Schizosaccharomyces pombe: one gene and its partner. The gene in region 1 interacts genetically with each later gene. Each region holds a gene or a part of one and is shown on either strand. Other genes may lie near its edges.

Region 1 (9,822 bases):
GCAGATAAAGTGTGTATGTTATGGAAATAGAATTTACAAGTATGAGAAGGATGAAAGTGAAGAAGAGGATGAAAGTAAAGAGAAGGATCTTTGGACAGGAACGGTTTCGGCTTTACAGGTTTGGATGGATTGAAAAAGCAAAATTTGGAATGAATGAATACTTGAAAAAATAAAAAATGGTGAGCTTGAAGGAAGAACTTTATGAGGATGATTTGATTATTAATAGAAAAACATTAGAAAACCGGTTCTAAATTGGTGTATTGGTGAATGGGTGTTTTTTTCGCAATCAGGAGGAGTCCTCAGACATGTTGAGGGGTTTCATTATTTAGATTATGATAAATTAAAAAATAAAAGAGATGAATTTTATGCAAATAGTTGATTATAAGAGCGCAACAATCTTTGTATTAATAAAACTACACATTCGCTTATTAAATAACCTTAAACTCGGTTATACATGGATTTCCAAGTGTCGCAAGTAGAGGAGAAATGGAGAAAATGGAAAGCAAAGAATGGATGAAAATTGTAAATCAGCAGTTTCGAACTTTTCAAAAATTTGTTAAAAATATTAATTTTTCAATTTAATTGAATTTTGTTTTACAAGGTGGATACTATGGAGGAAAAAACAAGATATGTATGGAAAAGGTAGCGATCGCAAAGGAAAAAAAATATTAGAAAAGGAAATGGAATGAAATTAATTGAACGAAATGAAAAGGACATGAAAATAAACAGAAGTATAGAACAAGAAAAAAAAAATTTTTTTTTAAAATAACATAAGGATGGAAGTGATCCGGAGTGAATAAATAGAGGGAAATGAAAAAAATAAATAAATAAAAAATAAATAATAAAATAAAAAATATTTATATACACATACATATAGATTGGAAAAAGATGAAAGAAAAAAAATGAACCAACCAATCTATCAATAAGTAAATCAATTAATCAATAAATATATAAAAATAAAAATTCTAAAACCAAGAAAAAAAAAAGAAAAAGAAAAAAGATTGAAATCTTATAAACAAATCCTTCTACGCTGCATACAAACACGTTACCACAGTCTGGAGTACTGTTGGAGAGTGAACCGAGACAGCCGCGGGGCGGTCCTTCGGCGAAACCAACGAGACGTTAAATATTTGCGATAATATTGTATAGTGCAAGTATGATAAAGACCGGTAACAAAAGTATAGCGGAAATTGAAAACCAAGTGCAAAATCTTCCAACGAGCAAAAGGTGTTACCCAAGCACGTCAGATGCATCAACCGAAGCAAAAATGTTTAAACGCAGATGAAAAGCTTATTGGAAGAAAAGTAAATTTAAGGCCAACGATTGGAGGAAGGAAAAAGTTTGATGGGGCAGATCCATTATGTTACACCTTGACTTTGTCGGCAATCAAGTCAAGTCAAGTGCCGAGGGCGCGCCAAGGTGGGTAAAGAAAGAGACAAGAGCAATACCGTGACGATCGGAAAAACCATTACCGAGAAATAAGGAAGGCCGGTAAATGGAATGAAACGTGGAGCGGCCAAAGGAAGAGAGAGAGAGAGAGTAGGAAAGAGTGAGCGAAGAAGGTGTCTGTCTGTAATAAGAGGAAGAAAAAGATGAGATGAAAGATGGATAGAGAGAGAATTGTAAGACATTGATAGAAACATTGATGGATTGGAAAAGAAAAAGAAGAAAAATCAAAAAGATGTTGGCAATTGTTTTGAATTCTAGTCAAAGAGTGAATGTTATATGTTTTTATGCTTAAAAAACAAAAAAACCATTCGAATGTAAGAAATGGTTTGAAGCAATATAGCCAGCGAATAAAAAATAAAAAATAAAAAATAAAAGGAAAAACCGTTCGATTCAAAGCAAAGTACAAACAAAGCCACAAAAGGATCTTACTAATAACGAATGCTACAAAAAACTAGACCAACTAACTAAACAAGTAGCAAAGGGATATAAAGAGGTACAGCGAAGTCACTGAAAAGATGAAGATAACGAGATATACAGATGTCATTAAAAGAGTGGTATAACGAAATATAGTGATATCACAAACCCACAGAATTTTAGGGCTGGTAAGAAAAGTAAAGAGAAGAAAAACAAAACAAAAGAATAAAAAAAACAAAAAAACAAACAAAAGGAAAGGCTGATGTGCATATAGTCTCAAAAGTCAATCGAGTTTAGTTTTACTTTTTCATGAGCATCTAGCATTTGCTCTTGTTTTGTGTTCGGCCGTCTGACTGTTTGGATGAGGAAGAAGAAAATTTTGTAGGGCGGCCGTGAAAGAAAAGGAAACAAAGGAAAAATTAAAAGAAAATAAATAAAATCGAATTAAATTAAATTAAATTAAATTAAATTAAACGAAATAAAATAAAATAAAATAATAATAAAAATAAAAATAAAATAAAATTGTAATTGTAATTGTAATTGCATTTGCTTTTGCTTTTGCTCTAGAAATGCTCCAATGTCTTTCCCTCGTACTAGTGTCATTGTCAGGATGCTGGATGGGCGAGATGACAAACGAGGAATAGTGTGTGCAATAAACAGGAGAGAGAAAGGCAAGTGAGAAGCAACAAGAGTTGAATCAAACTGAATTGAATTGAACCAAATTATTATTCTTCTTATAATCAAATTATTATTCCTCTTTAATCAAATCACTATTCCTCTTTAATCAAATCACTATTCCTCTTTAATTAAATTCCCATTCCTCTTGCTTACTGCCGCTCTTTTTTTCCCCCTCCCCTTGTTTAGATTTGGGTTGCTGAAATTTTCTTTTCTTTTTTTCATCCTCCTCCTCCTCCTCCTCCTTACTTTATTTTGTGTTTAACTTTTTTTCCCTTCTTTCCTTCAACTTTAATAAACCCGATCATTCCTTCCGATTGATCCTCTGCCAAATTTCCACCAAACGGTCGGATCCAAATTCAATGGAAAAGGAAGCGACTGGCGGTCGCACGAAGCAATGACCATGGCAGATGGATGAAATGATAACATCAACGGAATTAATTTCCTGACAAATGATGATACAAAGTATTGAATGAAACATGTCAATCATCATTTACTTATCTACATTTCCCACACTCTAGTGAATTTCATACTTTAGCTAATTTCAACACTTTAGCTCTAGCTACTCTTCCACCTCTTTAATTTTTTCTTTAGCTCTCTCCATCTCTCTATCTCTTATAACAATCTCTTTTTTTATACGTTATTCATCTTTAACCTCTCCCTTTCATCCCATCTCAATTCCTCCTTCGACTCTCAATCGCCCCCCATCTACCTTCTTTCGCTCTCCTTCTCCCCAACGAGGTCGCGTTCCTCTTCGCTATTCCCCTCTACTCCCCTCTCTCGCCCCACACACCGCCTGTCTCGCTCACTCAACTCCCTTTCGCCCTCCCCCACGTCATCCCCCCTGCTTGCTAGCGTTTAGCCTTTCGTTCTTCCTCTCAGCGTTTAGCGCGGTGCAACGGATTGTGGAGTCGCTCGCCGGAGGTAACACGTTGTAGCCGAACTAAAAGTGACATCATACTTCGGCACTTGCATGGGTGGGATTCCCGGAGATCGTGTGGATTTGCTAGCTCCTCCATCCAATGCGACTCGGCAGTTGATGTAGAGCGGCCATTCGAGATTACATGGGAGATGCTGTAGTAGACTGCGTGTTTCGTATACATATATTATATACACCTGCCGTGCACCGCAATACTTTTTGCCTTTTCCCATCCACTTTTTTTCATAGTATTGTTGAGAGCCACATTGATTGATTCCTTTTTATCAAGGAATTGAACCTGTTTCTCGTCGTCTTTTTTTTTTTTTTTTAAACTAGCAAATAAAAAAATTCATTGTAAGATTTGAATTATACTAAAAAGCTCTACTTCACTCCCCCGTCAGTCATAGTCCAACAACTTTGACTCAACAAAGCAAAAGCAAAAGCAAATCAAACCATACGATACGATACGAAAAACGAAAGTTTTTTTTGTCCATTGCATTGCTTTGATTCCCTTTGGTCTATCTGCCTTTGATTTCTTTTCTGGGTAAAACAGGAATTGAAAGAATTTTGAGAAAGTAAACGAAAAAATAAAGATTGAATAAAGCATAAAGATCTTATTTCCCATCAAAACATTGTTGTTATTGTTGTGATTTCTTCTGAAAAACAACAAATCAATTTCCAACTTTTCTATTCATTTACGCTTTTTTCCAATTCCCTTAATTTTCCATCCATCCATCCATCCTCATTGAGTCGAATTCTTTCTACTCAATTTGCCATTCGTCCCTTCACCCTTCCTATTCCACTCCCTTCTTTCCGGCTTCTTCCGTTTCGTTATTTGGTGTGATCGGTATCCCGAAAGTGAGTGAGTGAGTGAATTGTGTGATTCTCTTTCCCCCTTGGTATTCTTCCTTCAATCAACATTCTTTCGAATTCCCTTTTTGGGTTGATTTGTTCTTTGTTGTTGTTTTTTTTGTTTTGTTTTGTTTTTACGTACGTTCTATTTTCTATGAATACATAGAATTTCCTGTTTCGTAATCTCAATTCATTTCTCATTTTTCATACTTTATTTGAACCCAAGGTTTTCACACTTTTTCTTTATCTTCTCTTTTTTTTTATTTCCTTTGTGTGCTTTTCTTAAAGCCTCTTTTTTTTCCTCTTTGTGTGTCGTGATCGATCGGATCGTCTCGTCGGCTCACTTTACCTTGAATTTCTCCCTTTGGAAAATATCTACTGATATACCTATAAAAAGGTTCCCCATTCCCAATTAATTCCAGTATTGTTTTTTTTCCCTCTTCCTTATTTCCTTTTTTTTTTGTTCTTGAAATCTCTCATTCCTTTGTCGTTGCGCCAAAGAATTTTCCATAAACAATAACCAATTCGTTGTTGTCAGCGCTCGATTTCCCATCAAAAAAAAGTTATCTTCTTAGGAAATACTTATTTCTTTTCTCTCTTCAACCCTTTTCTTACTTGGAATTTATTTATTTATATATTTATTTATTCATTCTTCCCTTGTCATCCGTTGTTTTAAAAAAAACTCGCTTGACATTTCCTCAATTTCCCATCTCGTCTGACAGTATCTCCGTTACAAACTAATATCTGTCAAAAATCTTTGATTTTTCTCTACTTTCTCTTTGACGTGTTTGTTTATTTCTTGTGTTCCCATTCACTCCGTCTTGAGATTGCCTCTTTGAATCGTACTTTCTTACGCAATTGTTTTGTGTCGTACTTGAAAACTTGTATTGTTAAATAGTTTAACAACTACATTCCTTTGAGTTCATTCAAGTTTCTCTTTTGTATTTTCCTTGTTGTATTCTGAAGTTTTCTGTCTTTTTTCTTCCCTGTTTTTTACCTTTTTACCAAACCTTCCACTTGTTGTTTGGTTCATTGTAAAACACTTTTTTCTCTAATCTTACCGGTGGTTTGCTCTTCAGTGAACTAGAATATTTCTTTTGTTTCTTTATTTTACAATTGCACATGATTGCCGTTACGAACATGTCTGTCACCCCTCCCAATGTACAGTTTAACCTTAATGGGGATAGCGATCATAAATCAGACAATTCCAGTTCCTCACTGGAAAATAAACTTGACACTGAATTAAAAATAACGAGTCCTCCTCGTAACCCTCCTCAGCGTTTGCATCCTGTCGACTTTTCTGAGCACGCTGATACGGACGATGATATGAATCATCCTCTTCCCAGAGTTCAATCCCCCGTCCATATAAAGAATCACATTGACCCTAAACTTGCCGAGGATCGTTATCGTTCATCTGCTGCACGTCACTTCGAACCTATTTCCATTCCCCCTTCCGCTATCACCTCTGAGGATGAAGATGATTATCATGGCTCTGCTAATTCTTCTACCGTCCTTCCCCCTCGTACTGAAAATGCTTTACATGCTGCTAGTCCTAAACCTTCAGGTTCGACTGGTTACACCTCTCCTGCTCTTTCACAAAACAGCGGCAGTGGTGGTGAAGGCGAATCTGATGAAGGCTCTTTTAACACTCAGCATCATCGCTCCCCCATTTTTCAGGCATACCCTTCTTCAGAAGACCTTGTCGGCGATCCCAACGATCCTTATCGACGCACCCGCCGTGCTCCTATTAAGACAAATCCACATGATATCCCTTCACAGTTCATTTTCAGAAAGTTGGGTCTTCATCATGGAAAGCATGGTCATCATGGACACTCTGGTAGTTTATCGTTGAAATCTCTTGTTCCTAATCATCATGACAAGCATGATAAGCATGACAAGCACGAAAAACATCATAGTTCTTTAGATCTTCGTCGCTTTTTCAAATCCCATCAAAAGACAGACAAGGAGAAAAAGCCATCTGTTTCCAAGTCAAAATCTTCCGCTAACCTCCAAGATGATCATTTCGGTCTTTTCAAAAAATACGGAAAATTTGGAAGAATGCTTGGCTCTGGTGCAGGCGGTTCTGTCCGTATTATGAAGCGATCTTCTGATGGTAAAATTTTCGCCGTCAAAGAATTCCGTGCAAGAAGGCCTACTGAAACCGAGCGTGAATATGCCAGAAAGGTTACTGCTGAGTTTTGTATTGGTAGTGCTTTGCACCATACCAATATTATTGAGACCCTTGATATTGTTGAGGAAAATAAAAAATTCTATGAAGTTATGGAATATGCTCCATACGATATGTTTTCCATCGTAATGAGTGGTAAGATGACAATGCCTGAAGTTTATTGTTGTTTCAAACAACTTCTCTCAGGTGTTGCCTATTTACATTCGATGGGTTTGGCGCATCGAGACTTGAAACTCGATAATTTGGTTGTGGATAGTAATTGCTTTGTTAAAATCATTGATTTTGGTAGCGCTGTCGTTTTCAAATACCCCTTTGAAGCCGATATCGTTGAGGCCACTGGTGTTGTCGGTTCGGATCCATACCTTGCACCAGAAACCTTGGTCCGGAAACTATATGATCCTCGTGCAGTGGATATCTGGTCCTCCGCCATTATTTTCTGTTGTATGGCTCTTCGCCGCTTTCCTTGGAAATATCCCAAGCTTTCAGACAATTCTTTCCGTTTGTTTTGTATGAAACAGCCTTCAAATGATGCTGAGTCTCCCAGTGATATACTTGCTGACATAAAAAAACAGCGCTTAGTCGAGCAAGGATGCGAACCTATTAGAAAAACCGATGAATCACATAGTCCAAACTCTAAAACTGATAACTCTTCAACTCATAAACAAGAGTTGTATGGACCCTGGAGACTTTTGCGCCTACTACCAAGAGAAACTCGTGCTGTTATAGCTCATATGTTGGAGTTGGATCCTGTTAAGCGTTACGACATTCACAGGGTCTTTGCAGACAATTGGATTAATGATATTTCGATGTGCCATATGGAAAATGGTAAAGTTATTCATTCTCCAACACATGTCCATAATTTGGTGGCTTCAGAAGAGTCACCTGCTCCACCTGCAAAGCATTAAAAACTTATATTGTCTTTCCCACGTTTGTTTACAAAGTCGCCTTGGATATTGGTGATCTGTTAAACGATACCAAAAAATGAATAATGTGGTGGCTTGTTAATGAGCTAATCTCTTAATCGTTGACGGTGTAACTTAGTTTTCTTTTCAGACTTTTTTTATGTTAAAAAATACTTTATTCTTTGATTATTAGGGACATTTCAATTTCTTACTATAATCTCCTCTATTTAATAGTCAGTCCCTTTTTTATCAGCTCAACTTTATGATTGTTGGTGATTTTTTTTTTCTTTCTTTGGTTATTATATTATTATTATTGTCTTTGTGAGGTTAGCTTGTTTATGAGTTATTTATATGGTAAATAGGGGAAATCTACTGTGGTAGATTAAAAATATCTCTACAATTTTGAAAATAAATGTAAAATTGTCGCATCTTTGAATTTGGTTTTCATTTTTTAGTAAGTTTAGATAATACAATACAATTCATTAGTCTCAAAATTTTCAAAGATCGTGTTTGAATATGATATTTTGTCCTTTTCAACCGTTGTCAAAGTTGTTGCAAATATTGAATATATGCAGTGTTTACTTCAACTGTATAATAATGGTAAAACACGTGTTCAAAAAATAAATGCCTAGGCATCCATGTGCCCTGAAGCAGCTAGTTTTTAAGCACTAGAGACAATTTCTTAAAGAAGTAGAACATATCTCATGCAAAGTTTTCGAAATCAAATTTAAGGAAGACGACATGAATACAACGGAATGTGTGTGCTATGTTCTAGCATCGCTGACAGGACAAATATATTTTAAACAAATATCCTATTTTCTATAGGAAAAGTAAAGAAATGTAAAAAAACAGTTAGATTTGTGTTTTATTAGGAAATACAAAATATTTATAGGATGGGTTCACGAACAAAAGGAAGAGATCCACTTTTTTCTCAAACAATAGATCTTAATGAGGTATATGTGTTATTAACGAAAGGGCTGAACAAGAATAAGGAGGGTTCATCTTGGATTAATTGCCAAATGCATAAATCAAATTAAACACATTACTCATAAACTAATGACTTAGTTAGCGTGTAATTGTTTCAATGCGAGATCTGACTATTCAAACAAAATAAAATAGCAACGATCGAGCAAGTTTCTTACCATATACTAAACTGTAGAACAATGTCCAAGTTAAAACATAAGAAGGTGCGCCATCTAATATTTTAGCGATCCAAAACTTATATCCGGGCTGGTAATACTTAGTTAAGTTACCACGCATTTTCAATGCAAAGAGTAGAAAGGAGACGAAGAAGTAACCGAGTACATACAGAGCAAGCCCTTCATATGAAGTTAAACCCAAAATACCAGCTGCGCACCCGAAAAAACTAGAAGTCAAGTTTCGAACAAAAGAAACGACCTTTGGATTCATTAGCACTCAATTATAAAATCCTTAAAAAAACTAGTACCAAGAAAATCTAGCTCTGCAATCATTTCTTACCTGTTCATTATATGCAACATTTTCTACAACAATTGGAGCGACGCCTTTATCCCTTTCCATATTAGCTTATGAACAATTCTGATGTTTAGTTGAGTTCACCGCTTGTAGAATTATAACCAAAAAATGATGGATAACGCATCTTTATACTGCGGTATTAACTACATAAGGACTTAGTAGGAACGTAATTTTTTCGCAGCTTGACGTATCCTTAAAAGCATTTTGCAAACTGCGTAATTGCCAATCTTTCATGTAAAGCTACAAGCGATATGGATATGGGAAAAAGCATTACTTTTTGCTTGGGCTGAATGTTGGCTAGTTTGGAGGGTGAAATAGTTTATTCAATACAATTGAGTACTTTATTTTTTTCCATTTGATTTTTTTGAACAGAAATGGGCTAATTACTAGGATATTGGGAAATCGCATTGTTTAAAAGAGGTTCTCGTTTTACATCAAGGTCGATTTTTCATATTTATTTGTTTTAGAAAAAAGTATCATCTTATATTTCCTGTATTACTGGTTTTCTAATTCTAAAACTTGAAAATGGTGGATGAAACGTTACATACTAGATTGTTTACAGTATACCGAAAGGATTAGAGACTCGTGAACATTCGTAAAAGCGACATGCTTATACTTCCAAGAGAACGAAAAGCGAATTTCATTTCTTATTTACAATAGAATAGTTATTCTCATCATTCAGTCACGATCACTTTTTTCTTTACCAAAAATTGTATACCTAAATAGCACAGTATAATCCACCGCAAATTAACGTATCGTTAATATGTTTATGATCAAATACTATGTATTTGCATACCAACGCTGCGATACATTAAATAAAAACAAGCAGAAATATGAGAATTCAATAATAAAGGAAACATTTAATAATTCCAAAAGCGAATTGCTAATTTTTTAATTACTTTATTTTACAATATCCTATAGCACATCAA
Region 2 (6,904 bases), on another chromosome or scaffold:
TACGTGTTCTCTTCAAGAATGCCAGCGGTCGCTGATCTTTTAGGATCCTCCGATTACTAGCCTTTACCACCATTTGTCCTTAAACTATGCTTCTAAATGATTGTTTTATATAGTGCAACACTTGTGACATAGCATATCCTTCCTTCTCTAAACTTATTTGTTTATGACCCTTTTATCTCTCTGTCGATTATTACGATAGTGCCATCATGATAAAAAAAATCTTTTCATTATTTACCAAAACTAAGTATATTTTAGAGAGTATTTTACTTGGGAAAAATACTCGTCAATTGTTTTGAGTGAAAATGCGTTCTTCCATATATATTTGATAGCCGTAAAGTTTCTTCTTTATCAAGCTTGCATATTATAGTGACTATTATTTATTCCTTTTTTTTTTTTGATACAAATATGCATAAATGTTTTTTATTATGGTATCTAAGTTAGTAATGTAAATCAACTCGCTAATATTATCCATTCAGCAAATTATAATGTATTTTAATTTGTCAACAATATACTTGTAATACGTTTAGTAAATCTATAGTAATTAATAGAGACAATGCTAAGAAGTTGGTTGATTTCATTACGGTCGGTGCCCATAATAAATGACTAATGCTTCGGAAGGTTGTCACTACCCACAACACACAAGTCCAAGGCATCTATATTATCCTTCCTTTAGGCTATTTTTTGTTGACAGGATTAGTAACGGGTTTATTGAGCTGAAAAAAAAGTGACAACTGTGTTCTTATTCCTTTTAATTACCATTTTTGCTGACGTGAAACATTGGAATTTCTTCAATTTCATAACGCTTTTTGGAGGTTGCCCAAATCCATGTCCGGAGGTAATAATAAATTTTTATTTTAATACAACCTTATAACTTTTCGTCTCTATTCGTTTTGGTCTCAATTACTGAATTGAACGATTAATTACTGCTTTCTTGAATTTTTTAATTCTAGAATCCACCTTTACTCGTCATATACGAAGGATATTTTTCTTAAAACAATCATTTACGTTTATCTCTTTCGATATTGAGGGTTTTATATATTATACTTGCCCTTACACGCTCAATTCAAGTTATTGTACCCTGCGACTTATTTCCATATAATATTCCTTATGCGAAATCCCTTTTTGACGTTTAGGGCACCTACTAGGAAAACAGGAGATTACCTGGTTTCTAAATTCGTAAAGAAGGATAATTTTTCTTCTTTGCGTTTGGCAAGGGCTTATACTTTTTCTACACGTTCCACAGCTGTTTCACAATTTTCTCTTCTCTCACTTTCTCAGAGATCTTTTCAGTCCCTTAAAATAAATAAAGGAATACCGGAAAAACATAAAATCCCTCTCATTTCATCTAAACAATTTAGCGTAACCTCAAAAAGATCGCAAAATGGGTCTTCAGGATCCAATTCTGATGCTAATGGTAGGAAAAATGGCCAGAAAAATGATGATTCAAAAAAGAAGGGATTGAATGGCAATGATCCGAAAAAAGTTTTTGAAATAGCCTTAAATGGCAACACTATTTTAGGTGGAATTTTAGTTGCCTATATCCTTTACAATGTTCTCTCGCCTAATGCAAATATGCAAGAAATTACTTGGCAAGATTTTCGACAACAGTTTTTAGACAAGGGTTTAGTTGAACGGCTAGTTGTTGTTAACCGCAATATGGTTAGAGTTATTTTGAGAGGCGGTGTAGCTTCAGGTTCAGGGCAGTACTATTTTTCAATTGGTTCCATCGACTCTTTCGATCGAAAACTAGAGGATGCACAACGTCAACTGGGTATTCCACCTTCTGAATTTGTCCCTGTCGCTTATCATGACGAAGTCTCTGTTCTTGCTACTTTATTGTCTTTTGCTCCCACCTTACTGATCATTGGAAGTGTCATTTATTTATCGCGACGGGCTTCGGGTGCCGCAGGAGGTGGTCAAGGTGGCATTTTTGGAATTGGTAAGAGCCGAGCGAAGATGTTTAATCATGAAACTGATATCAAAATAAAATTTGCTGATGTCGCTGGCGTTGACGAGGCTAAAGAAGAGATTATGGAATTCGTCAAATTTTTAAAAAATCCCAAGTTTTATGAAAGGTTGGGGGCTAAAATTCCTCGTGGTGCCATTCTTTCTGGTCCTCCTGGTACCGGTAAAACTCTTCTTGCTAAAGCCACCGCTGGTGAAGCTAACGTCCCTTTTTTAAGTGTGTCAGGTTCTGAGTTTCTTGAAATGTTTGTTGGTGTTGGACCTTCCCGCGTAAGAGATCTTTTTGCTACTGCTCGCAAGAACGCTCCTTGTATTATTTTCATAGATGAAATTGATGCAATTGGTAAAGCAAGAGGACGTGGAGGACAATTTGGTTCCAATGATGAACGCGAAAGCACTCTTAATCAGCTATTAGTTGAAATGGACGGTTTTACGTCTAGCGAACATATCGTCGTATTCGCTGGTACTAATCGACCAGACGTATTGGACCCGGCACTTCTACGTCCTGGTCGATTCGATCGTCAAATTACGATTGATCGTCCTGATATTGGCGGTCGTGAACAAATATTTAAGGTCCACCTTAAGCATATTAAGGCAGCCGATAACATCGACTTAATTGCCAAGCGTCTTGCCGTCCTAACTTCTGGTTTTACAGGAGCTGATATAATGAATGTATGTAATGAAGGAGCGTTAATTGCAGCACGATCAAATAGTAATGAAGTCCAAATGGTACATTTTGAGCAAGCTATTGAAAGAGTCACGGCAGGTTTGGAAAAGAAGAGTAGGGTACTAAGTCCTGAAGAAAAAAACACCGTTGCTCATCATGAAGCTGGACATGCGGTAGCTGGTTGGTTTATGGAGTACGTCGATCCACTATTGAAGGTCTCAATCATTCCTAGAGCTCAAGCCCTTGGCTATGCTAGTTATTTACCCAAAGATCAGTATCTGATGAGTCGAGGGCAGATTTTAGATCAAATGGGAATGGCTTTGGCTGGGCGTGTTTCTGAAGAAATATTTTTTGGACCAGAAAAGATTACTTCGGGAGCTTCCGATGATTTTCAAAAAGTAACGCGCATGGCTCAAGCGTATGTGACCCAATATGGTATGTCTCCGACTGTTGGTACTATAGCTTATCCCATCGACACTCGGGAAACTGTTCAAAAACCATTTTCTGAGGCTACAGCTCAAATGATTGATGAAGAAATTCGAAAGCTTGTAAAGCATGCATACGAAAGAACTAAGAAACTTTTGCTAGAACATAAGCAAGGCTTAGAAAATATTGCTCAACGTCTATTACAGAAAGAAGTCATCACTTATAACGAAGTTGAGACGATTCTTGGACCAAGGCCATATGCATACAAACATTTAAATATTTCTGAACTTATGCGTCAGTCTGAGTATAAAAATGATCACGATCCTCGAAATCCACCAATCCCCCCATCTCCTCAACAACCTTCTGCCTAATTTGTCAATTTACTGAATTTAAATAAAGCGTTATGAATGAAAATAGTTACTTTCATGGATCTCATGATCAAAGTATTTGTCAATTGAATATCATATAGCTATTTTATCTATTTTTTCTATTTAATATTACAGAAGCTAGATAAATATACTTAACATCAATTCTTCTGAACTTTAAAAGGTTAATAGATTATTATTTTCTAACACAAAATAGCTAATATCGTAACAAACAAACTTGTGTTTAGTTTCGACCTTTAGACCAGCATGTCATAGGGAGCGTGATACTCAACAGTTACACGTTTGACACTAACCACTGTACTTTCTTACAAGTCCATATTTTATGATGGATCTGATTATTTCAACAATTTTATTAAGCTTATTTATTCATTTCTTCGATAAATTTGCAAAAAAAAGGACTATTGATGGGGTAATTTAACATATATACTTGTTGTAAAGAAAACTAATAATGTGAAAGGCTTATCGAATTTACGTTAGTGTTTCTAATAATAAAGATTTAAAGAAGAACAAAGAAATTTTAGAGCAGCTGCTTACTGTTAAGAAAGAGCTAAACGCTACTAGCAGTCAAGATCAGTTTGCTAAATGGGCCCGTCTGAATAGAAAGTATGAACAACTCAGTCAAGAGTGGGAAAAACAATCAGCCAATGTTAAAATTTTCCAAGATACTTTCAAGCGGGTTTTAAGCCTTTTTCTTTGGATTTTAACCCGTGGATTCCGGTTTTATATTCAATTCAAAGAGTCCAAAACACCTGTCTTTTTCCTCCCTGCATTCTTGCTTCCTTCTTGGGCTCTATGGGTGCTATCTCTTCCACGATCAATCTACGGTATGTTGTTTTTAATGAAAATTCTGAAAATCTTTTTTTTATTTTTATTTTCATTTATCACAATGGCAGCTGAAATACTAACATGGCATGTAGGATCGGTTAGCTTAACAGTTTGGAATTTTGCGGTTCAAAAAACTATTTCCGGGATATTTTGATCTCCAAATCATCAAAGACGGTGACTAATTTTAATATTTTATCATTTAGTTTAATTAACTAAAGGGAAAAAGATGCCATATGTATTTTCAGTAAAGTCATTTTATAAATGCGTTTTCTACTTCCTTTTCTCATAAGAAAGAATGCCATGGAAAGCATAGTTTACCATGCACGATTAATATTATGTTATTCCTTCACAAATTGTACACTTTATGTGCTCTACACTGGTTTTCATCTAAATTGTCATCGGATTTCTTATTTCTATGCCTACTAATTCATTTGCTTAATTTGACGCTTTCATATTTCTGATGCTGTTTATACCGAAAGTTTGAAATGGCAAATAGGTTATTTATTACACAGGACATCTAGAAAGGGAACGATGCAGGGTTTTGGAAAACATCATAAAGTTACTACAATGTTAATTAAGAAGGGCACAAAATTATGATTAAAATTTAAGCTGAACTTCGATCTTACCTTTTCCTTTTATGCAACATTTCCAACCGTTGTATGTTGTTTTTTTAATCTTCAAAATTTTCAGTACAAAGATAAATTGTTTCTTGCATTGATTTTTCGAGTAAATTAAGTTCATGATAAAAAATTTGTAAGACTAAACGAGACCTATTCTCTCGTTTAAGAGTCGGATCGCACAATAGAGTCTTATAAGCTTCAGCAGTCAACCCACCATTTTTGAAACGACTAATGCGCTTTTGACACAGCATCTGTAGAAATTCTATAGCCTTACAATAAAAAGAAAAACCAGAGAGTTGAGCAACAACCTTTTCTTTTTCTCCCTCCTTATGTGCTATAAACACAGCCCAGATTTCATTAAAATACTTTGTAAGCATTACTATATTCATATCGCACTTTTGGAATTTGATTTTGTAAATGCAAAAAAATAAATATAAGTAAAGCCCGTAACTGGGACCATGATCTGTTATTATATAAAGATCCATAGGTTGTCTTATCATTACTGAACGTAAAGTCTCAGACTTGTCATTTGCGTATGTAGTTGGGGTGACCAGCAACTCCTGGGTGTTGATTATTCTTTTTTTATGAATCCACTCCATATAAAAATTTCTGTTAGTTTCATAAGCAATCATTGTCATGTCGACGCGCCAAACTTTGCAAGCGGTATCAATAAATCCATACTGCGTGAACAATTCATCAGCGGCAAAGTTTCCGAAGGAGTTGAATATTTCGGACATCTTTCGTATATACTGAAAAGAAATAAATTCTATTTTGATATCGCCTTTATGATCATTTGACTCCTGACAATGTAGCGAAGCAATAGCTGGACCAGACTTGTGATTAAAAATATCGAAAAAGGGTATTAAAGATAAACCGTAGTAGCTGTTAACGTAAAAACACCTGCTTTGGACGAGAACACAAGTCTCTAAATACTGATTCCATTTTGGACAAAGCTGTTTGAGATCAGCATGTTTATAAAAGTAAGGGCGGACCAATTGATCATATTGATTTTTGTATACTCTTAAATTTGTATTTATTACATCAAGCATTGAGGTTCCCTCAAGACACGTTTTATCTTTCCATAATAATGGGGAATCAGGCATACAAGTTTCGTCCAAGGTGTTTAAATAAGCGTTCCACGGACTATCTGTTATATTTTCCAATATTACAGTTATAACGAGCATGACCAGCCCAACCTGATCTCTATTGTCAAAGTTAATATCATCAGACCGATTAGATTCATTAAAATGTGTATACAACGAATCTCCAAATCTTGAGTTGCGAGGACTCAGAATGATCCTTCTAGGAATCTTTGCTAAAACTTCAAGTTCATCTATATCAAAGGTAGAAAATATACCATCTCCTGCGACCCCACTTGAAGCGATATACAGTTTGGGTGAAATGTAAGCTTCGTGTTTTGCTAGCCATTCAAGTAAGGGTTGGTACTTCAAAAATTGCTTGGAATTGTTCATGCTTTATTTAACATGTTTTAATAAGTAGTTAATAATATTTTTTATGCGCTTTCCGGCAATTTTGAACATTTGAAAGTTAATATCTTTTCAAAGCAAATTTGATTTTAAGCGTAGGTAAATACTCCAACCTTCTGATGTACACATTGATTTTTTGAGTAAAACTTGAACGTATCTTAGAACAGAAGATAATTAATTTCTCAAATTATGTTTAATAAAGCACATTAGTCTGTTCAAACTTGATTTTTAATCCGCTACGCGTTTTCAACCTGTCCGATACAGAAGGGCAATGCAGGATGGATCGTAAATATAAAAACTACTATAAGAATATGATTGAATACGATTGAAAAGGGGTAATAAACAAACGCTTTAAATATAAAAAGCTTCTTCATGGTGATAATTTTACCAAGAGTTGTACAGACTTTTCGCAATAATGCTTTTTCATACAAATAAATTATTTCATTTATAAAACATTCATAATTAAACAGTAGATACTTCCATCAGTAATGGAGAGATGTAAAAAACTAAAAATAATATATGACATAG

What was found. Genes that interact genetically often act in the same process or in processes that back each other up.
Region 2: mutations in oca2 (region 1) and get1 together harm fitness more than expected from each alone (negative genetic interaction), as found in Schizosaccharomyces pombe (2 studies listed by BioGRID).

The regions. Positions count from the first base shown.
Region 1 is NC_003421.2:756,481-766,302, reverse strand, and holds oca2 (serine/threonine protein kinase Oca2), read left to right. Parts: upstream 1-3,678; 5' UTR 3,679-5,449; coding exon 5,450-7,402; 3' UTR 7,403-7,935; downstream 7,936-9,822. Other genes in the region: heterotrimeric G protein beta subunit Gnr1 , read left to right, coding at 1-133; protein Emc6, read right to left, coding at 8,442-8,452, 8,542-8,797, 8,879-8,938. UniProt on the Schizosaccharomyces pombe protein: Overexpression causes cell cycle arrest.
Region 2 is NC_003423.3:4,315,181-4,322,084, forward strand, and holds get1 (GET complex subunit Get1), read left to right. Parts: upstream 1-3,728; 5' UTR 3,729-3,766; coding exon 3,767-3,853; intron 3,854-3,901; coding exon 3,902-4,268; exon of another isoform or gene 4,269-4,361; coding exon 4,362-4,423; 3' UTR 4,424-4,939; downstream 4,940-6,904. Other genes in the region: fit1 (CoA pyrophosphatase (FIT) family lipid storage protein), read left to right, coding at 1-60; m-AAA protease Yta12, read left to right, coding at 1,108-3,429; SPOM_SPBC16C6.01C (lysine methyltransferase), read right to left, coding at 4,940-6,361.